Mus musculus: one gene and its partners. The protein of the gene in region 5 purifies or fractionates together with the protein of the main gene of each other region. This does not show direct contact. Links are inferred from orthologs where the notes say so. Each region holds a gene or a part of one and is shown on either strand. Other genes may lie near its edges.

Region 1 (4,137 bases), on a different chromosome or scaffold from region 5:
GAAACCATTGCCCTTCCCACCAAGGCTGCTACACTTTGGCAATGGCAGCAGCAGATTCAATGGGGTTTGCTACTCATATGGTTTGTTGCAACAACTACACCTTTAAAAGTTTCTGGGAGGGGGGGGGGTGCTGGTGAGATGGCTCAGTGGGTAAGAGCACTGACTGCTCTTCCGAAGGTCCAAAGTTCAAATCCCAGCAACCACCCATAATGAGATCTGATGCCCTCTTCTGGTGCGTCTGAAGACAGCTACAGTGTACTTCCATGTAATAAATAAATAAATAAATAAATAAATAAAAGTGTGTGTGCACCACCAATATCTGGCTGATATTGTTAAAAAAAAAAAAAAAAGTTGCTGGGAAGCACACAGACCCTTCCTATCCAACACACAATGGTGGGGCTAGACAGACACTCAGCAGTTATGAGCACTAGGTTGCTCTTTCAAAGGACCTAGGTTTGGTTTGCCTGCATATATACTGAGACATAAAAATAAATGTAGTTGGTTGGCAGTTGTTCCTTTTTGGCACTTGCACTTTATCCTTTAAAGCGCGTTAGTGGTACTGTCAGAACACAGGTTCCCTGCTGTCCTGTCGCGGGCTTGTCCCAACAACGCGCAGTAGCTTATACCGCTTTACAATCTTGTGGTTGTGTCGTGAGTCCGAGAGTTTCGAGTCCCTTGAAGGCCCAAGCCATGTTTGCTAACTAATTTTATAACTACCTTCCTCTACTACCCATTCTGTATTTCCTTCACCTTCAGCCAGCACCTCAGCAGGTCTTGGCTCTTTTCCTGGAGGATTGACCCATACCTTCATTCCTGATGGGTCTGTGTCCTTTGTCATCCTGCTTGGATTAGGCTGTTGTAGTTTCCCATTGACTTTAATCACAGGACATGGTAGTACTAAGAGACGCCCTAAGGGATCTCCTACACTCCAGACATAATCTTGCTTACCACCATTGTGAAGAGGTAATCCAATTTCCCCATGGTAATCTGGATCTATCACCCCTCCTAACACTGTTATTCCATTTTTAGCCTGTTGGTTTAAGGGCATTAGAAGCCCAAAATGACCAAGGGGAAGTCTGAGCTTCCAGTTCAATGGAATGTTTGTTGTAGCTCCTGGTAGGAGCACTCCCCTCTCTGGAGCCAAAACTTCTAGGCCAGCAGAACCTAGAGTTATGGGGACAGGAAGCCAAAATTACCGTGCTAGCTTTAGTGTACTCTGAGAAAAGAAAAACTTGCGTTCTCTAATTAAGCTTGAGATCCGAAAAGCGGGTCCGAAACACAGGATCATAGAGACGACGGGCGCAGAGCGTATCCCCTGGCGGCACCACGGAGGTAACGCGGAGGGCGGCTAGAGCGTCACTCGCCCAGGCGGCTTCCTCTTCGGCAGTCCTCCTTCCCAACATGGCGCAGTCGATTAACATCACGGAGCTGAATCTGCCACAACTGGAAATGCTCAAGAACCAGCTGGACCAGGTGAGGACCTGTCCCAGCACCTTCCTCGCGCTTCATATCCTCCGACCGACCGCCCGCCCGGTCGGGGAGGCTTCCTTTCCCAGGGAAACCCCTATCCGGTCCCGGGTCCCGCCCCCTCAGCCTGGGCCCCGCTTTCTTGAGCTGACCCCTTGTTTTTTCCCGGCTTCTGTAGGAAGTGGAGTTTTTGTCCACGTCCATTGCTCAGCTCAAGGTGGTCCAGACCAAGTACGTGGAAGCCAAGGACTGTCTGAACGTGCTGAACAAGAGCAACGAGGGTATGGGCTAGGCGGGTGAGGGCGCCTGGGGATGCCGGCTTCTCCTTCGCTTTTTCCTAGTTCCAGTTTTCGTTAAAGAAAACTGTTTGTTACTTAGTGTGTGTGTAGCCACAGGAGCCCCCGCATGTTGCCTACAGAAAACTAAAATGTACAAGACATTTCCTCAGTTGCTGTGTTCTTTTCACTGTCTGTGAACACTGAGCCCTGTTGGGAGCTTCCCCTAACGTCTTCGCGTGGGAGCCGCTAGCCTTCCCCAGCTGTTTGTCTTTATTACTTTCACAGGAAAAGAATTACTGGTCCCACTGACGAGTTCTGTATCCTTTCCACGGGAAATGCTACCTTACATTCTTCCACAGTCTTTCCCAAAAGCGGGGAGAGTTTTGATTTTAAGAACAGTCGAACACTTAACGTAGCTCACTTGTCTAACGTTGCACCAGTGTCCATGTAATACTTTGTATCAGAGTTCGGTGAAGAATTGAAATGTTGTGTTTCTCTTTGTTTAGAGATGTCAATATGGAGACAAAGCTGGCATTTGGCTAAAGCCAGTAGAAAAAATGTTAGGATATTGAAATTGGGAACTTGCCTCTTTTTTCAATTTCACCTTAATTGCCGCTCATCTCTAATAGTGAAAGGTAGATTGTTTCCTCCTGTTGAAATGACCTGTTGTCATTTCCACCAGGAAATGACAGTCGAAAGAGAAACCTAAGAATAGCAAAGTGGTGAAGACTGTTTTAAGTAACAATAGAGCCGGCAAGGTGACGACGCAGAGCGTAAAACCCACACATACACACTGAGCTAACTTTCTGATACTAATGGGGTGGAAGGAGAAGACCAACTCCCAGAAGTTGTCCTCCGACCTTCGTGCTCCATGGCATGCACACTTGTGAAAACACACACACAGACCAAATACATGTAAGTTTAAAAGTAGTAATAATTTGTAACTAGAGAGATGGCTCAGCAGTTAAGAGCACTTGCTCTCAGTGAGAACCCAATTGGGTTCCGAACATCTACATGGTGTAGGTGACAACAATTCAAGGGGATGCAGCAACCTTTTCCGACTTCTGCAGGCACCAGGCATGCACATGATGCATACACATACACATAGTTTTGTCTTAGGGTTTCATTGCTGTGAAGAGACATCATGACCAAGGCAACTCTTTTTTTTTTTTTTTTTTTTTTTTTTTTTGGTTTTTCGAGACAGGGTTTCTCTTTTAGCTCTGGCTGTCTTGGAACTCACTCTGTAGACCAAGCTGGCCTCGAACTCAGAAATCCGCCTGCCTCTGCCTCCCGAGTGCTGGGATTAAAGGCGTGCGCCACCACGCCCGGCTGCAACTCTTGTAAAGGCAAACATTTCATTTGGGGCTGGTTTAGAGTCAGAGGACTCAGTCCACTGTCACTGTGTCTGGAAGAATGGGAGCACCCAGGGAGACATGGTGCTGTAGAAGGAGCTGAGAGTTCTACATCTTGATCCAATTGGCAGCCAGGAGAAGAGACCATCTTCCAGGTAGCTAGGAGGAGGGTCTCAAAGCCCACCCCCACAGTGCCACACTTCCTCCAACAAAGCTATATAGCTCCTAATAGTACCACTCTGTGGGCCAAGCATATTCGAACCACAAATCTAAAATTAAATATTTAAATCAAAATTAGTAATAATCCATCAGGATTCATGGTTCAGGGGAAGTGAGGCCGGCTTTTCACTCACACTATTCTGGAGCTTTAGGAAAGAATCCTAAGTATCTGATCTGTTCCTTCTGGAAAGTGGAAAAATACAGGGGCTCCTTTAAAGAGGAGAGATGGGATCAGGACCAGAAAGTGTTCCAGCTTCTGTTGTGTCCCTCCAGTTACAGTGACCCGTAAGTTAAGGCTTCCGGTCTCTTGGTTCTCCCAGCTGCAGCTTTTTAGAAAAGGACACCTTGGGGTTAGTACCCTGGCTGACAAACCCATGCCGCATGCTGGGTCAGTTTTTTCTTAACCCTGCCCTCTCAGATGTACGTCCCCGGGAAGCTACACGATGTGGAGCATGTGCTTATTGATGTGGGAACCGGCTACTACGTGGAGAAGGTGAGCGGGGGTGGGGGTGGGGAAGTTCTGAGGAGGTGAGCGACGGGAGCTTAAGGGGAGAGGTGTGGTGTAGGACAGGGTCTCTCTAGTCTTTCATTCACCTCTGCTCTTGCAGACAGCTGAGGACGCCAAGGACTTCTTCAAAAGGAAGATAGACTTCCTCACCAAACAGATGGAGAAAATCCAGCCAGCGCTGCAGGAGAAGCATGCCATGAAGCAGGGTAAGTTCTGCCTAGGGTACCTCTTTTGTAAACTAACTCTTATCTCTCTTTCTGTAAAGTAGTATTTATTATTCCTCTGTGTGTGTGTGTGTGTGTGTGTGAGTGAG
Region 2 (4,272 bases), on a different chromosome or scaffold from region 5:
ATAGACAGGTGTTGGAATCTAGGCTCTCATCCCAACAAGCAACTGCGCATGCCCCAAGCCTGACATCAGCCCTAATGCGTATGGTCAGAGTCCGCCCCACCATGTGTGCACAGCGCAGAGCACAGACAGCACAGAGGCGAGCAGCAGACACTCAACAGACACGAAGACGGTGAGACCTGTATCCTGGTGCTTTGCCTACGAGAATTATCAATCTCCCAGAAAACCTCGAGGACTCCCTTCTTAACTCGGGAGTTTACAGAGCCCCCAAGCCCTAGGATGCATTTTCAGGTGTGTCTGTCACCACGAGGACTTTAAAAGCAACTCAGGTGAGAGGCCCTAGTAGGGCCTGCCTGACAAGCAACACTGGTGAAAGATTTCTGAATTAGAATCTAAATTACGATAGATCAGACTCAGATATTTTGACATCAAAGAGTGCTGGAAGTTGGCTGTTTTTGCTTTTTCCAAAGCAGGCATTTCCCGACATAGCCCTGACAAACAGCAGCCACCAGAAGCCACTTGGCCCCTGGGAGGCGGAGGCAGGAGGATTAACAATTCAAGGTCATCCTCAGCTGCATAGTGAGTTTGAGGCCAGCCTGGGCTATGTGAGAAATGAAGGCAGAATGGCAAAAAGGATCACTGTAGAGTTAAGGGAATTCTGCTAGTTATACAAGACATGACTTGCTCCAAATTCAAGAAGAAAGTAAGCTGCCCTGGACCCTGACTACACCCTGGCCTCAGTAACACCTTATGGGATTGTTAAGAGGAAATAAACCATACTCTATTCCAAGTTCAGGTACTGAGATCTGGGTCCCCAGCCAAAAAGCTCTCCACAATTTCAGCTGACAGTCAGATCTCTTAAGAGTTCCAGACCAGCAAATGCTACACAGTGAGACCTTGTCTCAGAAAAGCAAAAGCAAGGACAATGTTTATCGTGGAACTGACCAGTGTAACCCACAGCTGAGAGCACAGTCTAACAAGAGAGGCAAAATGAACCTGTTCCTACCTGGCCAAATCACCGTGGCCCCGGACTGTACTCTGCTACCGTGTAATAATTTGTGGGTGACAGACCAGGGCGAGGGGCTCTTTCGAACTCTGAAGCCTCCCCAGGCTCAGCAGCCATTCCCTCTTAATGAACTGGGATGCTGAGCATCAACCTTCAGTGGTCAGAAGCACTGACTACACGGTGCCAACAGCGAGAACACAAAGGCATTCTACAGGGGCCTTACAAAGTAGAGTGAAAGCAACTGTCTTCAGCCAAGCGCCTCTCATCAGAGACAGACAGGCAAACGGACAGACAGACAAGGAGCCCGGGGTGGGGTGGGGGGGAGACACACACACTAACACACACACAGAGAAACAGAGAGACAGACAGACAAGGAGCCTGAGAGAGGCAGAGGCAGAGAGACAGACAGACAGGAGCCTGGAGTGCAAATGCTCTTTAAATCACAGCTTTTCTTCTGCGCTTCAGTTTCCTCTTCAGCTAAAAGTGAATAAATACAGAATCTCCCAAAAGGTTGACACAGCAGATCAAAATAATTAGCAAATGCTAAGAACTGTCCGAACACACTGTGAAGCCCCAATAGCTATCAGCTGTTTGCTTGTTTGTTCTTTTTTTTTTTTCCCCTCCTCTGCAATTCTTTCCCTGTATTAGATACACCTGCACTCCTGGAAACACGTTTAGGTTATAAAAACCCACATGGAAGTTTAACTTAAGTTGGTGGCTCAAATTTAGCTCAAGTTTCAAAATATTGGTTGAAAGGGTTGCATAGCCATGTCTACTGCCTGTCATGCATGAAGCCCTGGGTCCACCACACCAGCACACCAAAAGCCAGGGGTAGTGGCACACACCGGTGATTCCAGCACCTGGAAAGTGGAGGCAGGAGAGTCAGAAATTCAAAATCATCTCTGACTGCATAGGAAGCCGTGGACCAGTCTGGTGTGTACACACACACACACACACACACAAGTCCGTGTCTTTCAAAAGTGTGATAAGACATCACACCGAGCCCCATGAACAAGGATCGGACGTCGTTTTAAAAATGATAAAGAGCTCTAATTTGACCAAACAAAAATCACCAGACCCAGCATCTCACCAGATGAGTCACCAAAGGAATGGCTGGCTGGCTGGCTGGCTGTGAAGTGTGCGGGGCAGAGCGTGGGGACCCGTGTCCTTCCTAATGGCTGGGAAAAGCCCGGAGAGCCACCGCGCTCGCTCGGGCCGACTGCTCTCAACGTCAATTAGACACTCGGTGCACGGAGCGTGGACCGACCGGAGCGGTCCGGGGCGGAGCACAGAGGTGCGGTAGCAGACGACGCCCCGGGATGCGGTAGCAGACGGCCCGGGATGCGGAGCCCGACCCGGTGCCCGAGGAGATGCACGACCCTGAGCAGGTGAGGCGGTTGCCCTGACGGCGAGCGGAGCGGACAGAAGCACCCCTGTACCCAGCGCGGGCCCCGGCCCCGCGCATCCCTCACCTCCTCAGACCCCGGCCCCCAGCGCCCCGCGTCTCCTCACACGCCCCGGCCCACGGCTCCTCGGACCCCGGCCCCGCCGCACTCACCGCCTTCTTCATGGTGGCCGCCATCTTGGACTGAACCACGGGGCGCGGGGGAAAACCACTCGGGCGTGCGTCACCCCCCGAGGTCCCTCTCGAGCCCTGCTGAGCCAGACTCCCCCCTAACGCACAGCACTATCTCAACACTGCTGCTATCTGTGTCTCTGAACTATAAATTCCCAGGGCAAGGACTCAGGAAAAAAAACTATGCCCTGGAAACACTTGGTATCTTCCAATTAAAGGGACAGGCAGCTTCCCTCTCGGCCGGCATAAATACCAAAAGCGGCCAATAGTCGGGCCCGAGATCCCAGCCACGGCCAGCAGGGGGAGCGCTGGGTACCACCCAGCTGTGTGGAATGGGAAGCTTAAGAAATTCTTTTTCCATTTATTCAACAACCTAGAGAGAAGCTAAGGAGGGTAAGGGCGTGGCTTCGGCAAAGTATTTGGTAAATCATTTGGTCAAGTATTTGCACTCAAGCATGGGGACCTGAGTTCGATCTACAGCCCCTACCACATAAAAACCCAGTGCTGGCGAAGCTACAAGCTGAAGGCCACTCTTGAAGTTGATCTTAGCTTGTATGCCACTGATCACTGCAGGGGACACTAGGGGATCAGCCAGGAATAGATGAAGCCAAAGGTAGGTGACACCCAAAAAGATCCAGAGCAGTGGTTCTCAATCTTCCTAGTGCTGAGACCCTTTAATACAGTTAAATGTTGTAGTGCCCCCCCCAACCATAAAAAGTAGTTTTGTTGCTACTTCATTATGTAAATTTGCTACGGTGCTGGGTCATAATGTCAATAAATATCTATTTTCTGATAGTATTAGGCGGCTTCTGTAAAGGGCTCCCGATCTATAGGTTGAGAACCACTGACCTAGAGCGCTATAACAAACTTAAATGCTTAGATAATAGCTTACTGGACGGTTGCTTGGCTATTTATATTTAGAGACAGGGTCTTGCAATGTAATCCTAGCTGTCCTGGAACTAGCTGTGTAGACCAAGCTGGCCTGAAACTCACAGAGATCTTCCTGCCTCTGCTCTCCAAGCGCTAGGATCAGAGGCGTGCTCCATCATGTGCAACTGAAATGAATTCTTTTATGTGTTTAAAATTAAATTGGTTCAGAAATATGTCTTCCACTCGCTCAAATATGTTAGCCTGGGAAGACTGCCCACACAGGGCCCAGTGGGCACCGAGCTTCCTTAGTAACCAGGGCCATTGTTAACTTCGGTAGCCAAGACTTTGCTCTCAGAAAGTCGGAGGTCTGAGGGCAGAAGAGCTTAGAGTATTGGGGTATGGGCCATTGTCTCATTTACCAAGGGACAGGGAGGACCAGGTGTGAGCCGCAGGACAGTAAAAGCACGGCTGGGCGCTCTTGCATCTCTGCCAGTCCCTCCTATGGCTTCAAGCACAAGGGCATGCCAAGGAGGGGAAGAGGGGCAGATCTCGCCTGTCTGCTTATGACGCAGTGGGTCTCAACCTTCCTAATGTGACCCTTTAATACAGTTCCTCACGTTGTGGTGACTCCCAACCATTAAATTATTTCATTGCTACTTTACAACAGTAATTTTGCTATTGTTATACATTGTAACGTAAATGCCAGACATGCAGGATGTCTGATACTTGACCTGGGTGGGAGGGCCATTCGACTTTCCAAAAGGATCACGGCCCACAGGTTGAGAACCGCTGTTCTAATGTATAATGCATGTGCCCATTTGGT
Region 3 (4,179 bases), on a different chromosome or scaffold from region 5:
TCCTGCCCACTCCCTCTTGGATTCATGGTCCCTTCTTGTATGATTATTACTGTATCTTATATAAACTTATAACTGAGTACATTTAATGTTGTTCATATGTACATGTACTTGGGGCTGACCATTTAAGATTTGGCAACCTATCAGGGGGGCTTGTCTCTGGAGAAAATTGATTCTCCCTCCCTCAGCAGCCATTGACTGATTGTAGTTCATCATCTAGTGTAGGGCTGTGTGAAATTTCCCTCATTCCCATTAACGTGTATGCTGCTGGGGTCATTATGTAGGACTTGGCTAGGCAACCATATTGTTGAGATTTCATGGCTATAGTTTCCCTGCCATGTTGTTCTGGCTGGTTTTATGTGTCAACTTGACACAGCTGGAGTTACCACAGAGAAAGGAGCTTCAGTTGAGGAAATGCCTCCATGAGATCCAACTGTAAGGCATTTTCCCAATTAGTGATCAAGAGGGAAAGGCCCCTTGTGGGTGGGACCATCTCTGGGCTGGTAGTCTTGGGTTCTATAAGAGAGCAGGCTGAGCAAGCCAGGTAAGGCAAGCCAGTAAAGAACATCCCTCCATGGCCTCTGCATCAGCTCCTGCTTCCTGCCCTGCTTGAGTTCCAGTCCTGAGTTCCTTTGGTGATGAACAGCAGTATGGAATCGTAAGCTGAATAAACCATTTTTTCCCCAACTGCTTCTTGGTCATGATGTTTGTGCAGGAATAGAAACCCTGACTAAGACAAATTGATACTGGCTTGCTTTGTTTTATAAGCTACTTTTGCTTTTATTTGCAAACAGGGTCTCCTGCAGTGATTATGCATATCTGGTTTATTGATAGATTTGCTTTTTAAAGAGTTGTTGTGGAGGACAAAACTCTGGGAAGTCTTTGGATCTAAGAATTTAAGCACAGCTCTTGGCATTTTTTTCACATAAACTATAAACATATCGAAAGTTTTGACCTGGAAGCCGACAAGTATCTCACTGAAGGTGGCTTGTGAGAAAGATTGGTGTATTTCTTATGAGTCCAGGGCATACACACTCAGAATGAAGTTCACTGGTCTGCAAAAGGGAATTGGGATTGCCTCAGAAGCCACTCTGGAGTGTAGTCTCTTGATATCTTCAGGTGCAGGTGGGGCTGCGGTTTGGCATGGTCTGAATTCCCAGGGCTTTATCCTTGCCCATTCCTTAGATCTCTGAGATTAAGCATTAGAATAAGCATTAGCCTTCTGGCTTTTCCAACACATCCTTTCTAAGCTTGTCAGTCACATGCGTGTAGCCAATCACCACCCACGACGTAAGCACCAATGAATACGCAGATTCGCAGGGAGAGAGGCGGGTCTGAAGTGCAAACGATCCAATCACTGACGCCAACGATCGATGCCTCAGAAGGTAGTTATTTGCTCTGGTGCTTTCTGAAGATGGCGGCGGCTAAGGACGGATGCGGCCTAGAAACTGCTGCTGGAAACGGGCGGCGGCTCCACTTAGGGATTCCTGAAGCAGTGTTTGTGGTAAGAAACTCTTTCTCAGCGTCTTAATCTGATATTGGAGATTGCTTTCCAGTCACTTCCCAGGTCTGGGTCGTTGGGAGGAACAGAGCTAAAGGGTCCCGGAAGGGAATGTCTGGCCTTTTGCCTCTTCCTGCATCTTGGCTTTTTAGGCCTGGCGGGCGATAGCTTTGAAGAAAGGTAGTCCAACCCCGGCCCAGAAGAGGGAGCAGGGAGGAGAACTGGGTAGCTGGAGACGGATGCGAGGCGGATTGGGGCGTGGCGTCCCTTGAAACTGACCAGTTGCTGCCTGTTGTCGCCTAAAGAAAAACAAAAAACAGCAGCAACGGTTATTGAGCTCAAGACCGCAGTGATGCCGGAGATGTAGATGGGTGGACATTTAGCACAGAGAGCAGGCAGAGCAGCTGTTTGTAGGGTGTGGGTACTGAGTGGCACCCAGTCAGCTTGAGCACGGCCGTGGTCCGTTTCCTTGGGAATGGAAGCAGACTGCTGAGAAAAGTAAACGTTAGCACAAACGTTAAGTCCATGTGTTCTTGCTTTTAAGAATTGAGGCTTATGTAATGGGCAACCGGCTGTTATTAGGTTTTTGAAACCATTTTATATTTGCTTTTAGTAATACTATTTAAGCAGTTTGTAGACAACAAATTTTATGCAGTTGTGAAGATTGTGGGAAATGCAATTGGAAGGTTTCATGTAACAGGACCGACCCAAGTTAAATATTTGTACTGAAGCATATAAAATCTTAGTCAAAATTTCCTTGATTCTTTTTTGGTATGTACCAAAAATTATATATATTCTGTCTTATTGCTAACATTCTTCAAAAGACCCTTTTTTTCTTTTACTTAAATCACATTTTATATTGTATATTTTAATGTGCTGGTGGAATAAATTTTTATGTGTATTCTCAATGTTCTGTGCTTTTAAAAATATTTTTCAAGTGATCTTTACATGAAGTAATATTTTCTGAGGTTCAGAAATTTTCTTAGAAAATTTGCAAAACTTTATGAGGGAGTTACTGTTGTTCAAATTTTGTAGATGTAGTTGATGAAACCCAGAAATAGAGGTATCCAGAAGTAGCATTTGAGCAGTCAGGAGAGCTTTAGAACCTCTTTGGTCATGCTCTGCTACTTAGAGGTGAGGAAATTTTGTGTTATTTCTCCTGATCCTATTATAATGCCTGATATATAAGGATGTAAATATATAAATTTCCATTCTGTCTTAAATATAACCCGATAGCAGTAACTTCAGAAATGGAATTAATGAATACAAACTTTATCTGAGGGATTTACCGTAAAATAAACTTTTATTTATTTATTTTATTTATTTATTTTTTTGAGACAGCCCAGGTTGGCTTAGAACTCACTGTTTGGATTAGGATGGCCTCAAATTCATAGTGCCTGTCCTGCTTCTGCTTTCCAAGTTTGTAGGTTAAAGACAGACACTGTGACAACTGGCTGTAAAATTTTATGGTTAAATTTTATACCAACACGATGTAATAAGCAGTCCAAACTTTATATAATTATCTTGATGTTCCAAAACTAATGGAAGTGGCATGATATTTTAACAACATAAAATTCTATGTCTGAGAGTATTTGAATCCTACCCAACTTCCATCTTGCTGCTTAGTCTTGAGTTTCTATGGGTGACAATATTTATGGACTTATTTTGAAAAATAAAATATGTATTCAATTGAATTAAATCAGTAAGAAAAATGATAACTTTGGCACACAATTTGCTCAATTCTTTAGTGACTAGGGCACATGAGTAGGCAGTGTGCTTCATTGCTAGCAATTTTCATATTTATTACTAGAGCCACATGAGAAATGTATAAAGCAGGCAAGTTCATGTGTCTTACATTAAAAACAGAAAAATAAAGAATAAATTACCTACATAATGTATGTAAACTGTCCGAAATGGTCTTTCTTGAACTTTTTTTTTCTTTTTTTGAGACAAAGTATGTTGTCCAGGCTGACAACTTTGGATCCTTTCGCTTCTACTTCCTAAGTTCTGGGATAACAGACCTGTAGCATCATGTCTAACTTCTCTTTAACTTTTCTTCTGCCAGTGCTGGGGATAACCTAGGGCCACCTGTCTTGTAGGCAAGTGGTATACCACTGAGCTCCAGGGCAGCCATCTTTAACTCTTTATAGTTAGGTTTTTAATTAAAAACAAGCTTTCAGAAAAGAAAAATTAGTTCTCTCCAGTGGAGTCTCACTAGGTATATTAGCCATACTAACGGGTGGATTCCATGCAGGGCAGTAAATAGACGGCCACCACAAAATTAATTCAATCGTATTGTTGTAGACTTTTTGTGTAGTATTGTTTGAGTATTTTTCTCCCTCCTGGCCTTTTGCCTGGATGCTTTCATTTCAGATTTTGTGTTTTTATGGATTTTTTTTGTTTTTAAAATTATGGCTTTTTGTTTGTTTGCCTATTTTCTAAAGAAAGAGAAATTGGGGAGTTGGAGAGGTGGGAGGATCTTGGAGGAGTTGGGAGAGGGGAAGTTGATCAGATTATTTTATGAAATTTTTTCTTCAAAAAAAATTAAATGAAACAAACCTTTGAGGAAAACAAAACTTGTTCTTTTACATTTTATAAACAAAGTAGTAAAAATCAGGTTTGTAATATGAATTTAAAACTTCGTATGATTTTTCATATTAAAGGAAGATGTAGATTCTTTC
Region 4 (4,203 bases), on a different chromosome or scaffold from region 5:
CAAACACTGGCTGCACGGTCTCCAGAACTACATATGCCCTGAGATGAAAGAAAGAAGTATGTTTGTGTGCCAGAATGACAGAGCCAAAGCCAAAACAGATCTCCGTATAAGATCTCAGTCTGTATCCTGCCCCTGTCTCTTGGGGTGGTATTCCTGTTTATACACTGGCCTGGTATCACTACCGGACTGCCCTTACATTCATGGTGATCTTTCTGTCTCAGTTTCTCCAGTGCTGGGATCATGGGAAAGGGGCACAGTGCTTGACCCTCGTCTATTGTTTTTGAGTTTTTGTTCTTTGAGACAAGACTTACGTCGTCTGAGCTGAGCCCTAACTCTCTATGTCATTGAGGATAACTTGAACTTTTTAAATTTACAGATTTATTCTTATTCTCTTTAATTTTGTCTACGTGTGTGTGTGTGTGTGTGTGTGTGGGTGGTTAGAGGTCTGCATTCTTCTGGAACTGGAGACACAGGTCGTTGTGAGCCATCTAACATGCGTGCTGAGAGTCGAGCTATGGTTCTCTAGATGAGTATATACTCTTTAACTGCTGACCCACCTCTCCAGGTCCTAATTTTCATTTAAAATTTGAATGTATTTAGTGACTGTGTGTTCATAAGCAAGTGTGGGGATACACACATAGAAGGGAGTCAGAGGATAATTTGTGGGAATCATTTCTCTGCACCATGTGGGTTCTCAGGATTGAACTTTATTTCCTTGTGGTGGCAAGCACCTTTATTCCCTGGGCTGACCTGACCCTGAACTTCTGATCCTCCTGCTTCAACCTACCTAGTGCTTGGATCACAGGTATGCAACGTCATACCTGTTTAGTGCAGTGCTGTGGTTTCAATTCAGAGTTTTAAGGATGCTAGGCAAGCACTCAGCCAACTGAACTACACCCCAGCCAGGAATCTGATTTCAACAAACATATGCGACTTGTCTTGAGAAGCCCTGTGTCTAGATGATATAAGAGGAGGCTTCAGCAAAATTAAGTTCTTTTTGGTTGAACCGTACTTCTAATGGTCTTACAGGCATGCCTGAAGCTGGGGGCTTTATACATCCCTAACAGACAGGGACTGAATGAATGGTTGATAAGCTGACCCTCAAACCTGTTTCAATTCTGCAGCCCAAATGCAGATGTTTGTCTAATTGTATGTGGAAGATAAGACCGAGCCACATCTCAGCAGTTACACGTTGTTTATCAAGTATAATCAGAATTTCAATGTTCAGGGTCACTTGTCTCGTAGCAGAGTGGTAGAGTAGGGTAGATAGATTAGAGTGAGAAATCCGGGCTAGTGGAGGTTCACTTTTGCGCAGGCGCAGAAAGAAGCCTACTAATAAAACCTGAAAACGCCCTTCCCCCACCCCTTTCCGGCTTGCCTCTAGCGCAGGCGCAGAGAGTGCTCCAATATGGCCGCCTCCGTGGATCTGGAGTTGAAGAAGGTAAAGGGGGCTTTTCAGCAGACAGACCCTTCTGTTTGAATGATGAAGCGAGTGAGGAGGAGAACGGGGGCGGGAGGGGGTGAGGCTCGCGTCTCGCTGGAGGAAGGAGACTGTAGGGGGCGGGGTCTGGCCTCCCGGAGCCCTGAGACGGGACCTGTTCTGCTTCAGGTGGAGCCTCTTGGTGGCAGGAGCTGCTTCAGGCGGGTGGGTTGGGTTGCTGGGTCACGCGCGGGCTGGGCTGCAGTGTGTCCTTAGGTTGGAACTTCAGAGACATCTCTCTGTGTTTTGGAGCCGCCGGGACCCCAATTTCCTAGCCTGAACTGAAGACAGCGTCTCACAGTGATGCCCGTCACGGTGCTTGCAGGAGGCGCACCTGCAGTTTGGATTCCTCATTTGATTTGAAAAACTCCAGGTTCAACCTTTGCTTTTAGGTCATTTATTCTATACCATACCTTCCCCATCACCTTTGTAAAGAACTCACACACCACCCCTGCTCCCCACGTAAGCTTTCCAAAAGACCTTTCAGAGGAATTGGATTAGTATGGTTATTGTTATTTTGTTCAATTCATTGCTTAGAAATGGTTTTTTTTTTTTTTTTTTTTTTTTTTTTTTTTTTTTGTGACAGTGTCTCACTCAGTGTGTTCTAGAGACTTACTATGTAGCCAGGCTGGCCTTGAACTCCAGGCAATCTTTCTGCCTCAGCCTCTTGAGTTCTGGGAATTACAATCTTGAGTCAAAAGCCAGTTTATAAATGGGTTGTTATTTGGAAACATTTTTTGCTACTTAACAGTCTGAGAACCCTGACTGTGCTTTCCTTGTGGAGAGTTAGTTATAATTAGAGAGGGCCCTAGAATTCATTCTGCTAAAACTTACTTTTCTAAAGAGGGAAACTTCTAGTGTCTTTTGGTTTGTGGCTTGTTTGGTTTGGCTTAGTTTGGTTTGGTTAGGCCCTGAACCCCTAATGCACTTTAGTGCTGTTGCCTTCTGAATATTAGGGTAACAGATGCGTGCTAGGGTCCCTGGCAAGAAAAGTCTTAAAAGATTGAGCCTCAGGCAGAAAAATGGGTCAGTGGGTGAGACACTTGCCAGGCAGCCTGGCTGGTTAAGTGCTATCCCTAGAATCCATGCCGGAAGGAGAGAACTGCTCAAAGTTGTTCTCTAATGGTTTAGAGGCACAACGAAGTTCACTGGTCCCAAAGCACACACACAATAATAAACACATCTTTAAGACCGAGTCTAGGATTTGGTATTATTGTGGCCTTTTTTTTCAATCAGTAGGTTCTTTAGGTGAGAAACATTTTTGAAAGGTGTGTGTGTGTGTGTAGACATGCTTGCAAGGTGCTTCGTGGAGGTCAGAGAACAACTTATGGGAGTTGCTTTTCTCTCTCTTATGAAGTGGGTCCTGGGAACTGAACTCTTGTCTGGCCTTCTAGGCAAGCTGAGCTGTCTGCTGGCCCAGATTCTGGTCTTGTTTTTTCTAAGAGACCGAGTCTCATGTAGCCTGGGCTGGCCTGGAACTTGGTTATGTAGTTGGCATGCACCCCCACCCATTTTCCCCAGTGCTAGTATTTGCACCCAGGGCTTCCAGCATTCCCAGGACCTCTCACTGGGACCTAGGGATTGCCACTTTGGCTAGATTGTCTGTCTAGTGAGCTTTAGGGACCTTTTTTCCCCCTTGCCTCCATGCCTAGCATTAAACAACAGAAGAAACTTGTATTTTTATGTATGTATCTTGCCTGCACGAATGTCTGTATACCATATGTGTGCAGCCCTCTCAGGCTAGAAGAGGGCTTTGCCTCCCCTGAAACTGTAGTTAACAGGTGGTTGTGGGCTGCTATGTGGGTACTGGGAACCAAACCTGGTCCTCTGCAAGAGTAGCCAGTGCTCTTAACCCCTGAGCCATCCCATCAGCTCCCAAGCTCAGCTTTCTTTGTGGGTCCTGGGGAGTGAACCCTGGGTCAGCTGACTGAACTGTTTCCCTAGCTCCTATAAGTAACATCTTAAGTAGCTGCCTCTGGTTAACCTTTGCCTAAGCAATACAACAGCTGAAATAGCTGTTCCTAATAAAAGACGCCACTTGTTATTGTTCTGGGGATGCTAAGTATGTGGATCTTGCTTTTTGCCATTCTTGTCTTGAAACATGTAAACTTAGCCTTATACAGCATTCTCTCATGCTATAAATCTCAGCCTTTACATTTTCTCTTTCTCTCTTTTTCTTTTTTGAGACAGGGTCTCACCATATGTCCTGGACTTGCCTGGTACTCACTATGTAGGTAGACCAGGCTAGCCTTGAAATCACAAGAGATCCTTCTGAGTGCTGGGATTAAAAGTGTGCATTTCTATGCCTGATATGTAAATCTTAGCTTTATATATAAAGCTTTATATAAAATGTTTTCTCCTTTTATCATGTGAGTTCAGGTTCTAGGGCTGGAACTCTGGTTGTTAGGCATGGTACCTTTACCTGCTGAGCCACCTCATGGACCTCTGTTTGTCTGTCCACCCATCTATTTATCTATAGATAGATTAAAAAATAATTTTAAAATGTTTGTGTGTGCATATACAAGTGTGCTCAAGTGTTCTCTTACTATGTAGTTCCCAGGGATCAAACTTAGGTTATCAGGCCTGGTGGACAGTGCCGTTCTCTGCTGAGTCAATTTCACTGGTCCTAAAAAAAAAAATATCTTTTGTGAGACTAGGTGTCTTGTAGCTCAGCCTGGTCTCGAATATCTTACAAATCTGAGTCCCAAACAACTCCTGAATCT
Region 5 (3,335 bases):
TCCTCTCCCAGCCTGGGCTCACCTTGGCAGCACTGGCGATGTCCACAGCCTCCACGATGTCTGTCTGCAGGATTTTTGCCGTGTCTTCCCCATCTTCTCCTACCAGAAACCTAAAAGGCAGTTAGGATGACGACGGTGACGGTCCCCACCATGCAGCGGGCATACAAACATAAAAACGCAGAGAGACAGGACAGCGGGGAAAGCCCAGGTCGGGGTCCACTCACCCAGGTTCCTCTGCAAGCAGCAGCTCAGCGCGGGCGGCTCTGACGCTTGCCTCTTCCTCTTGCGCTTCAGCCTTCTCGAGTTTGCTTTGAGTTTTAGGCTTCGAATGTGGGAGCTACGGCATTGTTGACAGGGTTGCAAGAACCGAAGAGCATATGTGGGGGTCCCAGGAAAACCACTGGGGAAGCCGCCACCACCTCATCCAAACCCTCGGCCTCCAATCCCTCTGACAGCCCGCCGGTCCTCACCGTTTTGGACTTGTCAATTCGACAAAACTTCCGGGCCTCCTCCAGGGGGGCGGGGACGGGTCCTGGGAACGGGTCCTGAGCCTGGCGAGGACAAGGAGGCAGGAGGCAGATTCTGATGGATCCGGTTCCTCTCGATCTCCGGGGACGACCTGCACCGCCACCCTGTCAACCCCAGGCTCACCCCCGACAGCGTCCTCTGAGGCTTCTTCCAGTCTGGAGCGGTCTTTGAGATCGGGGGCTTCTTGGAGAACCGGGACTTCTGGGCGATGTGCGCGCTCTTGGACCTCGGGGGTCGCGACTCCCCAGTCCTCGCCTTCTTCCGAGGCGGCCCCGGGGAGGTGGCGACGGCGGCCGGGGTGGTCTCCTCCTCCCAGTAGCGCCGCGGTTTCTAAGGGGCAGAGGAAAAGCCTTCGCACACGCTGCCCGAGCCTGGGCCCGGGACGCGGACACCTCCCACCAAAGCTACCTTCCTCTTGGCCTGAGGCTTGTCTCTCTTGGGTGGGACACCCCTACCCGGCTTGGGGGCTGTCTCCATCTCCAAGACCGAACAACGATCCACGTGCGAAACTCCCTTGAGTAGTAGCTCGGCGGTCTAGGAAAACTTCCGGAAGTCCCCCCCTTCATCCAATCAGCGCCGTACCGGCGTCTGAAGCCTCCGGCGCCATGTTAAGTGAGGGCATGCCTCTGTGAGCCCGGGAGGATCGCCCGAGGAGCAGCTTATAACCAAATAAAGATTTAAAAAGCATGTATGAGCCCCGAATCTTGTTAACTATGAGCTTAGATTTTTCCATATTAACTTTTCTGTCTTGCCCAAAACCTCTCGAGCCGAGTCTTTTAGGTCGAACGAGCCTCACACAAGTCAGAACTACATGTTCCAGCATGTATCGGAATGTAACTTCCGGCGCCGTCTTTTTCTCTCCCGTCATGCCTTGTTTACTTCCGGGTTTATTGATTACAGCGGGTAGAGCGTGAAGAGGTTAGCGTTTGGCTTGGAGGGTTCGGGGATCTCTTCTTTCGCTCTCCTTTGCCTAGGGAGTGGCTATTCTGGACGAAAAGAGGCTGCGGCGCCTCGGAGAGTTGCGGGTAGAAAGTGCTGTCCTTCTGCAGGGTCAGGGAGGGGGGATTCAGGTGCCTCCCAGAGCTTGAGACCCAGCGACCCCCGCCCAGGAGGCTTTCTCCTTCACCATGGCTGAACTGATCCAAAAGAAGCTGCAGGGAGAGGTAGAGAAATATCAACAGCTGCAGAAGGGTAAGAGAGGGAGTTGGTGTGGTCTCGCTCCTGTCCGCTCTCATCTATGATGAAGCGTCGCGCCCCATTGGGGGCTGCGGGGGTGCATCTTGTTACCCCTCGCCTCGGTATCGTCGCTTTCTTCCTCACACCCAGTCTCCCCAGAATTGCGCGGTTCTGGGCCCATTTGATGTTTTTAATCGTGCATTTCCTCTCTCCACCCCAGACTTGAGTAAATCTATGTCAGGGAGGCAGAAGCTCGAAGCACAGCTAACGGAAAACAATATCGTGAAGGAGGTGAGGATGGGACGCGGGGGTGGGGGGCGAGGAGGGACTCTCCTGGGCACGATCATCTCATTCACTGCCTCATCCCCTTCTCAGGAGCTGGCCCTGCTGGATGGATCCAACGTGGTCTTTAAGCTTCTGGGACCCGTGCTTGTCAAACAGGAGCTGGGGGAGGCTCGGGCCACAGTAGGGAAGAGGCTAGACTACATCACAGCAGAAATGTAAGTCCTGCGGATGGCGTTTTCAGTGCACAAGTGTTAAACCCGTGCTGGATAGTTCTCCACTTACCCATTTCTGTAAAGTCCTGGCTGCCCTGGAACTCGCTCTGTAGACGGGGCTGACCTGACACAGATGCGCCTGCTGCCGCCTCCTAAAGGATGGGATTAAAGGCATGTGGCACCACTCCTGGCCTTTCTTGCTGTGTGACATCTGGTGAGGGCACTTGTCAAAGGACAACCTGCGGGAATGTTTGCCTCCCTACTGTGGGGTTCTGTAGCTTGAATTCAGGTGCCAGCCTTGGAGGACAGCAGCCCTCTCTTCCCCTTAGTGCCATCCCCGCTTTCTGTCCCACAAACCTCCAGTCTTCCACCATATCATTGAGCCCTGGCTGATATCTCCTCTCCGTTTGCCTCCCTTTGCCCTCCTCAGCAAGCGCTACGAATCACAGCTTCGGGACCTCGAGCGGCAGTCAGAGCAACAGAGGGAAACCCTTGCTCAACTGCAGCAGGAGTTTCAGCGGGCCCAAGCTGCAAAGGCTCCTGGGAAAGCCTGACCCCGTGGGAGGGGGTCAGGAGGGAGGGATGAGGCTAACCCTGAGCCAATAAAATGTAAACAGAACCAAGCCTACTTTACAGCCAGTCTTTCTTCACTGTACTTCCATTCCCGTACACTTTTACACCTCTTGAGATTCACGGTCTTGTGACTGAAATCTCTCAGTGGCCGGATTCTGTTTTGCTTTCCTGTGGCTGAGAACTGTGCCCAGGGTGTTTCCTTGGGTCCCTTCAGTTTCAAAACTTTAGTCTGAAACGTCTCAAGCTATTTCTTGCCTGTACATACAACCCTTTGACTTCCCTACGTTGGTTGGCGTAACCGGGAGACACGGGAGAAGACACTGTCTACAGTGCAGCATGTTGTTCGTTGCCATAGAACTCAGTTCTCTGGCCTGAGAGCCCAGGAAATGACAGTCACTCACGGTGAGCACTTGTCTCCCCAAGCAGCCCTAGCCCTAGACTGTTACCTGATTTCCCCGTCTATCTTCTCAGGGTTGGTTTGAATGTAACTTTTTTTGGTTTTGGAGACAGGGTTTCCCTGTGTAGTCCTGGAACTCACTCTGTAGTGAGGCTGGCCTCGAA

The links.
Region 1: the proteins of Pfdn6 (region 5) and Pfdn5 purify together in Homo sapiens (affinity purification with mass spectrometry; 5 studies listed by BioGRID and IntAct, with this or other methods). This does not show direct contact. The link is inferred for Mus musculus from reciprocal best matches to the Homo sapiens genes PFDN6 and PFDN5.
Region 2: the proteins of Pfdn6 (region 5) and Pfdn4 purify together in Homo sapiens (affinity purification with mass spectrometry; 6 studies listed by BioGRID and IntAct, counting the BioPlex papers as one, with this or other methods). This does not show direct contact. The link is inferred for Mus musculus from reciprocal best matches to the Homo sapiens genes PFDN6 and PFDN4.
Region 3: the proteins of Pfdn6 (region 5) and Vbp1 purify together in Homo sapiens (affinity purification with mass spectrometry; 6 studies listed by BioGRID and IntAct, counting the BioPlex papers as one, with this or other methods). This does not show direct contact. The link is inferred for Mus musculus from reciprocal best matches to the Homo sapiens genes PFDN6 and VBP1.
Region 4: the proteins of Pfdn6 (region 5) and Pfdn1 purify together in Homo sapiens (affinity purification with mass spectrometry; 6 studies listed by BioGRID and IntAct, with this or other methods). This does not show direct contact. The link is inferred for Mus musculus from reciprocal best matches to the Homo sapiens genes PFDN6 and PFDN1.

What each region holds. Positions count from the first base shown.
Region 1 is NC_000081.6:102,324,788-102,328,924, forward strand, and holds the start of Pfdn5 (prefoldin subunit 5), read left to right. Parts: upstream 1-1,328; 5' UTR 1,329-1,401; coding exon 1,402-1,473; intron 1,474-1,645; coding exon 1,646-1,748; intron 1,749-2,030; coding exon 2,031-2,062; intron 2,063-3,734; coding exon 3,735-3,809; intron 3,810-3,860; exon of another isoform or gene 3,861-3,922; intron 3,923-3,924; coding exon 3,925-4,030; intron 4,031-4,137. UniProt on the Homo sapiens protein: Binds specifically to cytosolic chaperonin (c-CPN) and transfers target proteins to it. Binds to nascent polypeptide chain and promotes folding in an environment in which there are many competing pathways for nonnative proteins.
Region 2 is NC_000068.7:170,509,759-170,514,030, reverse strand, and holds the start of Pfdn4 (prefoldin subunit 4), read right to left. Parts: upstream 2,802-4,272; 5' UTR 2,586-2,801; coding exon 2,562-2,585; exon of another isoform or gene 2,104-2,561; intron 1-2,103. UniProt on the Homo sapiens protein: Binds specifically to cytosolic chaperonin (c-CPN) and transfers target proteins to it. Binds to nascent polypeptide chain and promotes folding in an environment in which there are many competing pathways for nonnative proteins.
Region 3 is NC_000086.7:75,512,928-75,517,106, forward strand, and holds the start of Vbp1 (prefoldin subunit 3), read left to right. Parts: upstream 1-1,369; 5' UTR 1,370-1,411; coding exon 1,412-1,501; intron 1,502-4,161; coding exon 4,162-4,179. UniProt on the Homo sapiens protein: Binds specifically to cytosolic chaperonin (c-CPN) and transfers target proteins to it. Binds to nascent polypeptide chain and promotes folding in an environment in which there are many competing pathways for nonnative proteins.
Region 4 is NC_000084.6:36,451,691-36,455,893, reverse strand, and holds the start of Pfdn1 (prefoldin subunit 1), read left to right. Parts: upstream 1-1,398; 5' UTR 1,399-1,408; coding exon 1,409-1,441; intron 1,442-4,203. UniProt on the Homo sapiens protein: Binds specifically to cytosolic chaperonin (c-CPN) and transfers target proteins to it. Binds to nascent polypeptide chain and promotes folding in an environment in which there are many competing pathways for nonnative proteins.
Region 5 is NC_000083.6:33,938,408-33,941,742, reverse strand, and holds Pfdn6 (prefoldin subunit 6), read left to right. Parts: upstream 1-1,399; 5' UTR 1,400-1,655; coding exon 1,656-1,719; intron 1,720-1,924; coding exon 1,925-1,995; intron 1,996-2,079; coding exon 2,080-2,204; intron 2,205-2,631; coding exon 2,632-2,755; 3' UTR 2,756-2,834; downstream 2,835-3,335. Other genes in the region: Wdr46 (WD repeat-containing protein 46), read right to left, coding at 23-110, 225-337, 471-551, 652-858, 984-1,094. UniProt on the Homo sapiens protein: Binds specifically to cytosolic chaperonin (c-CPN) and transfers target proteins to it. Binds to nascent polypeptide chain and promotes folding in an environment in which there are many competing pathways for nonnative proteins.